Saccharomyces cerevisiae S288C: one gene and its partners. The protein of the gene in region 1 purifies or fractionates together with the protein of each later gene. This does not show direct contact. Each region holds a gene or a part of one and is shown in the gene's direction. Other genes may lie near its edges.

Evidence for each region. The genes of interacting proteins can lie anywhere in the genome.
Region 2: the proteins of RSM22 (region 1) and RSM25 purify together in Saccharomyces cerevisiae (affinity purification with mass spectrometry; 3 studies listed by BioGRID, with this or other methods). This does not show direct contact.
Region 3: the proteins of RSM22 (region 1) and RSM7 purify together in Saccharomyces cerevisiae (affinity purification with mass spectrometry; 4 studies listed by BioGRID, with this or other methods). This does not show direct contact.

What each region holds. Positions count from the first base shown.
Region 1 is NC_001143.9:158,956-163,435, reverse strand, and holds RSM22 (tRNA methyltransferase RSM22), read left to right. Parts: upstream 1-2,093; coding exon 2,094-3,980; downstream 3,981-4,480. Other genes in the region: SRP102 (Signal recognition particle receptor subunit beta), read right to left, coding at 1,101-1,835; 40S ribosomal protein eS27 RPS27A, read right to left, coding at 4,224-4,469. UniProt on the Saccharomyces cerevisiae protein: Mitochondrial ribosome (mitoribosome) assembly factor. Binds at the interface of the head and body domains of the mitochondrial small ribosomal subunit (mt-SSU), occluding the mRNA channel and preventing compaction of the head domain towards the body.
Region 2 is NC_001141.2:187,490-190,504, reverse strand, and holds RSM25 (mitochondrial 37S ribosomal protein mS23 RSM25), read left to right. Parts: upstream 1-1,720; coding exon 1,721-2,515; downstream 2,516-3,015. Other genes in the region: YIL092W (uncharacterized protein), read right to left, coding at 1-1,439; LYS12 (homoisocitrate dehydrogenase), read left to right, coding at 2,873-3,015. UniProt on the Saccharomyces cerevisiae protein: Component of the mitochondrial ribosome (mitoribosome), a dedicated translation machinery responsible for the synthesis of mitochondrial genome-encoded proteins, including at least some of the essential transmembrane subunits of the mitochondrial respiratory chain.
Region 3 is NC_001142.9:637,732-640,661, reverse strand, and holds RSM7 (mitochondrial 37S ribosomal protein uS7m RSM7), read left to right. Parts: upstream 1-1,686; coding exon 1,687-2,430; downstream 2,431-2,930. Other genes in the region: YJR115W (uncharacterized protein), read right to left, coding at 211-720; YJR112W-A (uncharacterized protein), read right to left, coding at 2,494-2,803, 2,853-2,872.

The sequences.
Region 1 (4,480 bases):
TAGGTTCATTTTGCGCTCGCATAAACAGTTTTCGTCAGGGACAGTATGTTGGAATGAGTGGTAATTAATGGTGACATGACATGTTATAGCAATAACCTTGATGTTTACATCGTAGTTTAATGTACACCCCGCGAATTCGTTCAAGTAGGAGTGCACCAATTGCAAAGGGAAAAGCTGAATGGGCAGTTCGAATAGTACTTAAGATTAGTTAAAAGTCCATGATTGAACATTGATGTGGTAGTTACATGCATGATGAATATGCGCCATGAGAGGTTGGTGAATTTTGAGATAATTGTTGGGATTCCAATGTTGATAAAGGCTGTTATATTATGTATACAGAATATACTGGAAGTGTCTCCTCGAGGATATAGGCATCCCCAAAAAGGAATCGATATTTCTACATAATAATATCACGATTGTTCCTCATTCCATTTCATATGTTTCATTATCCTATTACATTATTGATCCTTGTATTTCAGCTTTCTCTAACTTCGATGACAGTTTCTCATACCTTATGTCATCATGTCCACATTTGACACCATATAAGATAATATACTGGTAGTATAACCACTAGTTGATGACGATAGTTGATTTTTATTCCAACACGCGGACATATTAAATGTACGGTGGCTAGCAGGCCTCCTATTCACCATATTTAATCTTCATTAGTTGTACCTTTGACCATTGACAATCAACACAATAATTATGAACAAAATTTCCTGGTACAATGATTATGGTAAAGAAGAAAAAAAACGCTGCTTGCTATAACCAAATCAGAAAATATAATACTATAATAAAAATACATCAAACTACTTATCTTCAATTATTTTCCCGCATAATTAGATCATATAACTGCTGGAACATCAAACAAATATTAGCTCGCGTGGCGTAATGGCAACGCGTCTGACTTCTAATCAGAAGATTATGGGTTCGACCCCCATCGTGAGTGTTTTTTACACCAGCAGTCAAAAAGAGTTACTTTTGATATTGCATGTGTCGATGATGCAACTATGTCTTTCTCTGCGTACGGAATCTAGAGCTATGTTAAATGCTTGTTTTTAAACTATCTATCGTTCATCTAGTTATAAATTATAATTATATTACAGTTTTTCATCTATCCATTCGCGCCATTGGGAAATTTTTCTTTTATTAATACTGCCCTCAAAAGCAACTACAGATGCTTCCAAATTTGCAAATTTGAACCCGTCGGTAGACTGTAAAACGTCTAGTGTATTCTCTGCATAATCTTCTTCGTTAATTTTTCTTTCAACCTCGTTCAACGATTTTTTCCTTCTTTCAATAACCTTTTGAATTTCGCTTTCTAAAGCATCCTTGATCTTTGATGGTGGTCTTGCAGTGAACAATTCGCTTTTATTGCATGCAATTAAGATATCAATACCATTTTCGCAACTAGATTCAGTAATTGATAATATGTCTACCAAGAACTCAGCTGTTGTTGTTAATTTCTTAGGATCAACTGTTGAGTCTACCATAAATATCAACCCTTTAACAAATTTGGCTCTTGTTTTCAAATAATCTGAGAGTTTATAACGCAACTTGACATGGCCTGGGAAGTCCACTAACGTGACGCCGGAACCATCGTAATCCGCTGCTGATAACGGTTCTTGAGAAACAACAGTTGGTCTTACTGAATCTGTGGTTAGCAGCGTAAGCAAGCTCGTTTTTCCAGAATTTTGAGGACCTGCAATGATAATAGATGGTTGATAACTTTTTTGCTTGATCCCTGTCTTGGAGGATGCCTTTTGCACTGCTATTAGCGCTATGGTTGTCCCTATCACCAATAAACAGGCAATAATAAGTGTATTACTAAGCATTCTGATCCCGTGTGCTATTATGCTAATAAACAGCAGTGGTAAAGTAATAATTAATTGATCAATACAGACACTTAAAGCCTAACTATTTCTTTTCTTCTCATCTTTTTCAAGTTTAATGATGGTTCATATTTGTTTTCCATATCTCTTATTTTTTTCCGCCACTAGATGAAAAAAGTGAATGGTGAAAAATTAAGAACAGTATTGCAGCAAAACCTCTGACACTTTAGGACATAAGGTGGCCCGTCTAGTTTAGGTAAAATGATGAAAAGATGCTTCAGTATCCTACCACAAAATGTCCGGTTCAGCTCAAAGTTCACAAGTTTAAACTTACCAAAGTTAGATTTGGCGGATTTTATAGACTCAAATAAAAGAGGAATCAATGTTCTTCCGTCGTACAGAGATGAAACCGCTAGCACCACTCAAGCAACTAATTCTAAAGAGCTCAGATTACTTTCCAAAACACTTCAGGGCCAGTCGTACCGGGACCAATTAGAGTTGAATCCTGATGTAAGCAAAGCAATCAACAATAATATTATGGCTGTACATATTCCCAATAATCTTAGAAGGGTTGCTACAAATTATTACAAAGAGATTCAGGAACCAAATTCATTACATCGTCCCTGTAGAACCAAAATGGAAGTGGATGCACATATAGCGTCCATTTTTTTACAAAATTATGGTTCTATTTTCCAAAGTCTGAAAGAATTACAAAAAAGGGTAGGTCCTGATAATTTTAAACCTCAAAGAATCCTTGATGTTGGATATGGCCCAGCGACTGGTATAGTTGCCTTGAATGATATTTTAGGCCCAAATTATAGACCTGATCTAAAAGATGCCGTTATTTTAGGGAATGCGGAGATGCAAGAAAGAGCCAAAATCATTTTGAGCAGACAACTTAACGAGGTGGTCGATACTGTAGAAGAAAATGTGTCTACAGAGAAAGAGCAGGAAACAGATAGACGGAACAAAAACTTTCAAGAGGATGAACATATTGGAGAAGTGATGACAAAAAAGATAAACATTATGACTAACTTGCGGTCTTCTATTCCCGCATCTAAGGAATATGACCTCATAATATTAACGCATCAACTTCTTCATGACGGGAATCAATTTCCAATTCAGGTGGATGAAAATATTGAGCACTACTTAAATATTCTAGCGCCTGGAGGCCACATTGTTATTATTGAACGAGGCAACCCAATGGGATTCGAGATTATAGCCAGGGCAAGGCAAATTACGCTTAGACCTGAAAACTTTCCAGATGAATTCGGAAAAATACCAAGACCTTGGTCTAGGGGAGTAACAGTCAGAGGCAAAAAAGATGCTGAATTAGGAAACATTTCCAGTAATTATTTTCTGAAGGTGATTGCACCTTGTCCACATCAAAGGAAATGTCCCTTACAGGTTGGAAATCCTAACTTTTATACTCATAAAGAGGGTAAAGACTTAAAGTTCTGCAATTTTCAAAAAAGCATCAAGCGTCCCAAATTCAGTATAGAGTTAAAGAAGGGTAAACTTCTCGCTACTTCATGGGATGGTTCTCAAGGAAATGCGTCGAGGCTAAAAGGAACGGGAAGAAGAAATGGTCGTGACTATGAAATTTTAAACTACTCCTATTTAATATTCGAGAGATCACATAAGGACGAAAATACGTTGAAAGAAATTAAGAAATTACGGAATGAAAATGTGAACGGCAAATATGACATTGGATCACTGGGTGATGACACGCAAAATTCCTGGCCTAGAATTATCAATGATCCTGTCAAACGTAAAGGTCATGTTATGATGGATTTATGTGCGCCATCAGGAGAACTTGAAAAATGGACGGTTTCGCGGTCGTTTTCTAAACAAATATACCACGATGCCAGAAAGAGTAAGAAAGGTGATTTATGGGCCTCAGCGGCCAAAACACAGATTAAAGGGCTGGGAGACTTGAATGTTAAGAAGTTCCACAAGCTAGAAAAGGAGAGAATCAAGCAGTTGAAAAAGGAAGAACGTCAAAAAGCTAGAAAGGCTATGGAATCTTATAATGAATTGGAGGACTCTCTTCAATTTGATGATCATCAGTTCTCAAACTTTGAGGTAATGAAGAAATTGTCCACTTTTCACGGCAACGATTTTTTACAACATGTAAATAGAAAATAGGAAATTGTAAGTAACTGGAAATAAAGTAATAATATTAATATATTCAATACTTTAATATTCTACATACGTGAATATGATATATATATAGTACAGTTTGTTGCAGCGTTTCTAAAAAGCCAATAAAGATGACAACTGAGTGTATATTATATATGATAAAACCTACCCTGCTGGTTCCATAATTGAATCACTTTATTAATGCTCTTCTTTTGAAGTAAATTTCGTTTCATCTGTCTAGTAATGAAATTACTTTCTTCTGAAAGATGTACCCTCAGAAAGCTTTGCCTTACCACCAGTTGGGGTGCACAAAATTGTTGAGCAGGATTCGCAGGTAACTGCAGTTTGGGCGTGTGAGAAAACTGTAGTGATGTTCAAACAACCTGGGCACTTAACGTCTAGGAAGTACGATCTTGGACCTTGGACTAATGTCTTTAATTTGTGCTTTCTTGCTTCAGAAGCTGCAGTTGGGTGCAATAAATCTTGAACTAAAACCTGTTGTAGAC
Region 2 (3,015 bases), on another chromosome or scaffold:
TCTTTAACCTGGCTACTCTTGCTGATTTCATTTTTTTTTACTGGATTACTAACTGTCGCAGAGCTTGTGGGCGGAAACATATACTCTGTTGAGGAGAAGCTATTCGATATACCACTATCTAGAACGCTCCCGATCTTTGTGCCCTGAATTTCAGCGTTTTTTTGAAATATATTTGATGTTATAGGTTGTAGTGAGTTTTTCTTGACGGCGCAGCACCTCTCATTCAAAGAACGTGAGTTTCCATCCATACGTTCATCATAAGTTGTAGTTTCCTCCTTCGTGCCTAAAACTTCATCATTAATTAGGTCAATATTAATTGTGCCTGTAACCAAACTGCCGCTATTCAAAATCGATATTGGCTCCACTGCACATTGTTGAGATTTACTGTTTTTAAGATTCGTATGGAGATCGCTTAAATTGGTGTGTCCATTTTTTGATGTGTATGCATTGGCAGAAACATTCCTAGATGTAAGAATATTCTTTTCCTCATCCATGACAAGAAAGAGCCGCATTCCAGGTTCATTTTGTTTCCGACGTTTAGGATCGGGTATGTGTTGACTGTTCTTATCAAAGTAATTTTTCTTATCACTCTTTTCAATAACCTTATTCTTACTTATAGTTTTAGTATTCGATAATTTGCTAACGATAGCAGTATTCTTACTCTTTGGAGTACAAATGTCGGAATCCCTCGTATTTTTATACCGGTATTTTTTATGATTAGATGCTCTCTTCGCAAATTCACAGGCAGTTATCAATAGTGCTAAATTCAAAGTCATTGGGAATGCACAATTTTCCAGTTGCTTTTGCAACTGTGGCTCCAATTTTGTGAGGAATAGATCCAACGCAGCACCAGAAGACAGATAATATGGAGTTAGACGTCCCGATTTATGGGCAAATGCTTCTAATGACTTCTCAGAATCAATGGACAACGTCAATAGTTCCGTAAAAATTTCCCTTCTTAAAGATCTTGCTCCATCAAATTCTTCTGATAGTAGAGCAAGAAATTTTTCAAAACTGTAAGCCTTTATCACATGGTCATCGATTCCCTCCGTTGTAGAATCAAACCATGTCTTAGCCCGGCCGGATAATGCAGAGCTTATAAGAAGTTTCAAAAACGTTCCTGTACAGCATAGTCCAAATAAGATATCTGTAATATCATCGGCCCATTGGACGAATATATTGTTATCATCACCGTCTTCAGCACTGAATTTTTTCAGATGACTCACTTTATCTAGCATTTTGAACGCTTGTTCATCGTCATCAATCTGTCTTGTAACACAAAAATTATTACACGCTATGGGCAAAGTTTCGCTCCTCTTTCTACGTCCACTGTGTCCCTTCTTGCTTCGCGGCGGCAGGGTATTTCCATTAGCTATTGTATCACTATAGTTATTAGTTCCCGACTCGTATGCCATGTTTTTGGATCTCATTTGCACCATTAAGCAAAAAGAATCTGTTGAACGAGGACCCTAACCCAAGACAGCTAATATACTGCTTTTTTATGACATTTTTCATTTGGTCTTCATTCTTGCGCATCTTCTTTGAGAGTTGAAATTTCTTTGATACTTCGGCAATTACAGAAAAGTGCAAGTTACAAGCAATAAAACCAATAATATTTAGATACTGCACAAAAGTCTAAGAAAATAACCTCATTAGAAGCTTGGAAAAGGAAGAAGGACATTGCGCACCATTCAAGAAGAAGATCTTAGAATTCTGAGAAATGAAGATACAAACAAATGCTGTAAACGTCCTTCAACGGACGTCCGCTTACTTGAAATCAGGATTGTTGAAAGAAACACCTGCGTGGTACAACGTTGTAGCGTCTATCCCACCATCAACCAAGTTTACACGTGAACCTCGTTTTAAGAATCCTTCCAATGGACACATCATAGGAAAACTTGTTGACGTAACAGAACAACCGCATGCCAACAATAAGGGACTTTACAAGACAAGACCCAACTCGAGCGACAAAAGGGTGGGCGTGAAAAGGCTGTACAGGCCACCTAAACTAACATACGTTGAGGATAGGCTCAGATCGCTCTTTTACAAACAACATCCATGGGAGTTGTCGAGACCTAAGATTTTAGTGGAAAACGAAATTGGTGATGAAAACTACGATTGGAGCCATATGCTTCAGATAGGAAGACCACTCGATGGTGAAAGTGTTATCCAGCGAACTATGTACTTAATCAAAACGAAGCAGTATGGGGACATGGTCGAAGCATATGACCATGCCAGATATGAATTCTATGCGTTGAGAATGCAAGAAGAAACAGAGCAGCAAGTGGCTTTGGAAGAAGCGGAGATGTTCGGATCCCTCTTTGGAGTTTCTGCCATTGAACATGGTATACAAAAGGAACAAGAGGTCCTAGACGTCTGGGAAAAGAAGGTAGTTGAAGAAACTGAACTAATGGCAGCAAGGACAAGTAACCCTGCAGGGTCGTGGAAGGACGACACTACATTGAATACGGCGCAAGAAGAAGAATCCACCACTTCCGAGAACCTCCACTTCTAGGTGGGCTGCCTCTTTTCTCCAACGTCACCTAACCAACCTGTATATAATTAAAAACAAACGAGAACAACACATGTAGTGCTAAGTAATTGTCGTTCTCAAATTCCACCTCGATTTTTTCAACTGCACTGAAAATTCCCACTCTTTTTTTTTTTTTTTTTTTTTTTTTTCACTTTTTTCCCGTGGAAAAATATTCTTAAGATGACTCTAATTAGAGGAAAGAACAACAAGAAACTAAACTGGTTCTACAGTTATATAAGGACATCTTAACTGATTTAGAATTAGCTAAGACTGTATCTATGCGATTATTATATTAGTGCGACATATTTATATAACTAAGATAGTAACGCACTCAAAAAGATGTTTAGATCTGTTGCTACTAGATTATCTGCCTGCCGTGGGTTAGCATCTAACGCTGCTCGCAAATCACTCACTATTGGTCTTATCCCCGGTGACGGTATCGGTAAGGAAGTCATTCCTGCTGGTAAGCAAGTTTTGGAAAA
Region 3 (2,930 bases), on another chromosome or scaffold:
TATGTATATAAACATATGTGTGCATATATAAGTGCACGTATAGAAATAATATGCGATAAAAGTCTATTGTTCCTGGCTCATAAAACCTAGGAACTGAACGAGTTTTTTTCTTTGGTGATTCTGGCGTGATTCAACATTCGTATGCGATGACGGGCAGATCCGCGTCGTAAAAATGTTCTTAAGAAAGGAAAAGGGGAAAATGCATGCTAATCACATAATGCTAATGGGCCGGATGTTATTAGTGAGAGGAGAAGAGTCGCTGGATGCTGGGGAAGCGGAATGAGCTTCTGCAGTAGAAGAACCATCGGCAGCGTCACACAGTACTACCTCGCTGTCGATTTCGTCTATTTCGTCGAGGATCCTGTCCAGCATATTGGCGTGGCCCACCATTTTTCGTAGATCAAGTTCTCTGTGGTGGTGTCGAGTAAGGGCGCACTGAGACAGCTTGGAACGTATCTTGCTTATGTATAAGTATTGCTGAGGTATGGTCATGTACGGAGACATGCTGCTAAGCGGTGGGTGAGAGGTTGCCAACGAGGTGGGAGAGGGGAAAAATAACTTTAACACTTTAAAGAACTTCAAACTCAGTAGTCGTCCCCTCACACTAACTTGATCTCCTGTATATATATATATGTGTGTGTGTGTGTGTGTGTGTGTGTGTGTGTGTGTGTTCATCACCTTACTATTGTATATTAATATTGTACGTGTATTTGTGAACATGCACGTTCACTACGCTGCTGTTATGCTACTCTTCGACAGGGGTTGAAAAGGGCGGCTACGTAAATTTTGATCTGACAATGCAGTAAGCACAAACACTCTAAAAGATAAGTTTGCTACGACATCATCTACAGGAAGATTTCTTCGAGAACGCTTTAAGGTTTTTCGCTTTTAAATTATGACCCCGTGGTGTTTGGGTTAAATTACCAGTTGATGCGGGGGGGGGGGGGGGGGGGTTATATCAAAGTGGGGAAAACCGACTAAGGGCGGGCTTCTTTTGCAGTTGGCGTTGTGAGCGGGCATTGTGAAAGAAGAGCCAGGGTATATGGAAGATGGCAGACCCGTGTGGTTTCGGTTAAGCTGAGGCAGGGCGGGCGCGGTGTTGCGGGCGGGGCAGCGCCCGCAACATTCGGCGACTCGACGCGCTGCCAGGCTGGAAAGTTAGGACGGCGGCACCCCTGGTGGTTGCAAGGGTTTAGCTTATTTCAGAAAGGGATACTGGCCAGCAAACGTATTAGGGGCACACTATTGCCATTTTTGAGTATATCCATGGTTGCATGGTCGGACGCAAAGCTACTTTGCTCTGGTCACACTAAATAATCGCGCGGTCAATTATTTAGAGGTATTGGCGAGACATATGAGCACATTCCTCGTCGGTTTATTGTCTCGTGGTCATTTGCGTTAAATGATGAGCTAATACAGAGAGCAGAGCCAAAATGAAAAGCAAAAAAAAAAAAAAAAAAAAAGATAAAGCGATAAACATCGAGCCACGTGACCATATATGAGAAATGATCATCTGAAGAAGAAACAAAGTAGTTCTATACGGCTTTAAATGTTCGTCTTGGCTCCAATCTACATTTGCTTGAGAAATAGCTTACTACATACAATGCACATTATACACGTACAGAAAAGACAGCAGCTATCGTTTTCAGAAGAAAAATAGATAGATACGGATCTGAGGTGAATATAATGCTGCATTGTGCGAGGAGGTATATGTTAGTCAGGCCACGTCTCCTGTGGCAAAGTGGGACATGTGTTGCTCGTTTCCAGTCGTCAGTACGAACACCAGCTAGCGAACCATCGGCAGAGAAAGGGGTCGACGAGTGGCTTGAAGCGATCAACGAGCTAAGGGAAGAGTTCTCTGCAAAAGAATACCTGCCAGAGACCTCGCTGGCTCCACCGGGCCAGTCCAAAGTAGACCTCTTACAGGGTTCACAGGCGGGCTCCAAGATAAAGCCAACTGCAGAGCAGTTGGCACAATGGGAGGCACTGAAGTCCGTGCCCATTCCTCCACGCAAGAACGCAACGCTGGATCACATCACAAACATGATCATGCGCCACGGTAAGAAGGAAAAGGCACAAACCATTCTGTCCAGGGCCTTATATCTGGTGTACTGCCAGACCCGGCAGGACCCCATCCAGGCTTTGGAAAAGTCACTCGACGAACTAGCTCCGCTGATGATGACCAAGACATTCAACACAGGCGTGGCCAAGGCTTCTGTCATTCCTGTGCCTCTGAACAAGAGGCAAAGAAATAGGATCGCGTGGAACTGGATCGTACAAAGCGCAAACCAAAGAGTGTCGAGCGACTTCGCCGTGCGTTTGGGAGAAGAACTCACTGCCATTGCCAAAGGCACTTCGTCTGCCTTTGAAAAGAGGGACCAGATTCACAAGACAGCCATTGCTCACAGAGCATATATTCAATTAAAGTAATCTAGTCTACGTAAACTTGCCTGTACATAAACACATTTATATGATTTTCCGTATAATCTCTTTTTATCGGTCCTGGTAGAAGGCAATGCCCACACCAAGCAGACTGCCCCAGAAATTACAAATAATATCCTTCACATCGAACACCCTTTGTCCCCGCGAAACCACGCTTTGGGCGAATTCACTCGTTACACTTGCGCATAATGAACAGATCAGCACCCCTAACACGTACTTGTTGGCCTGTAGCTTGCGGAAAGTCACGATGTCCTCAGCAAACATCTTTACAAACAGCCACGACTCCCACATGAACACGACAAAGTGAGCAACTTTGTCGTTAGTCGACGTGATCGCTTGAAACACTTTGTTGGTAGTGATGCCTAAGATACGTGCATACCAACGAGCTTACCACGAACATATATACATACGTTCTTCTCAGCTGTACCATTGTTTGCTCTTGTGGTCTTTGGGTTCTTTCTATGTCTACTTTTTTCTCTGTTCGAGTT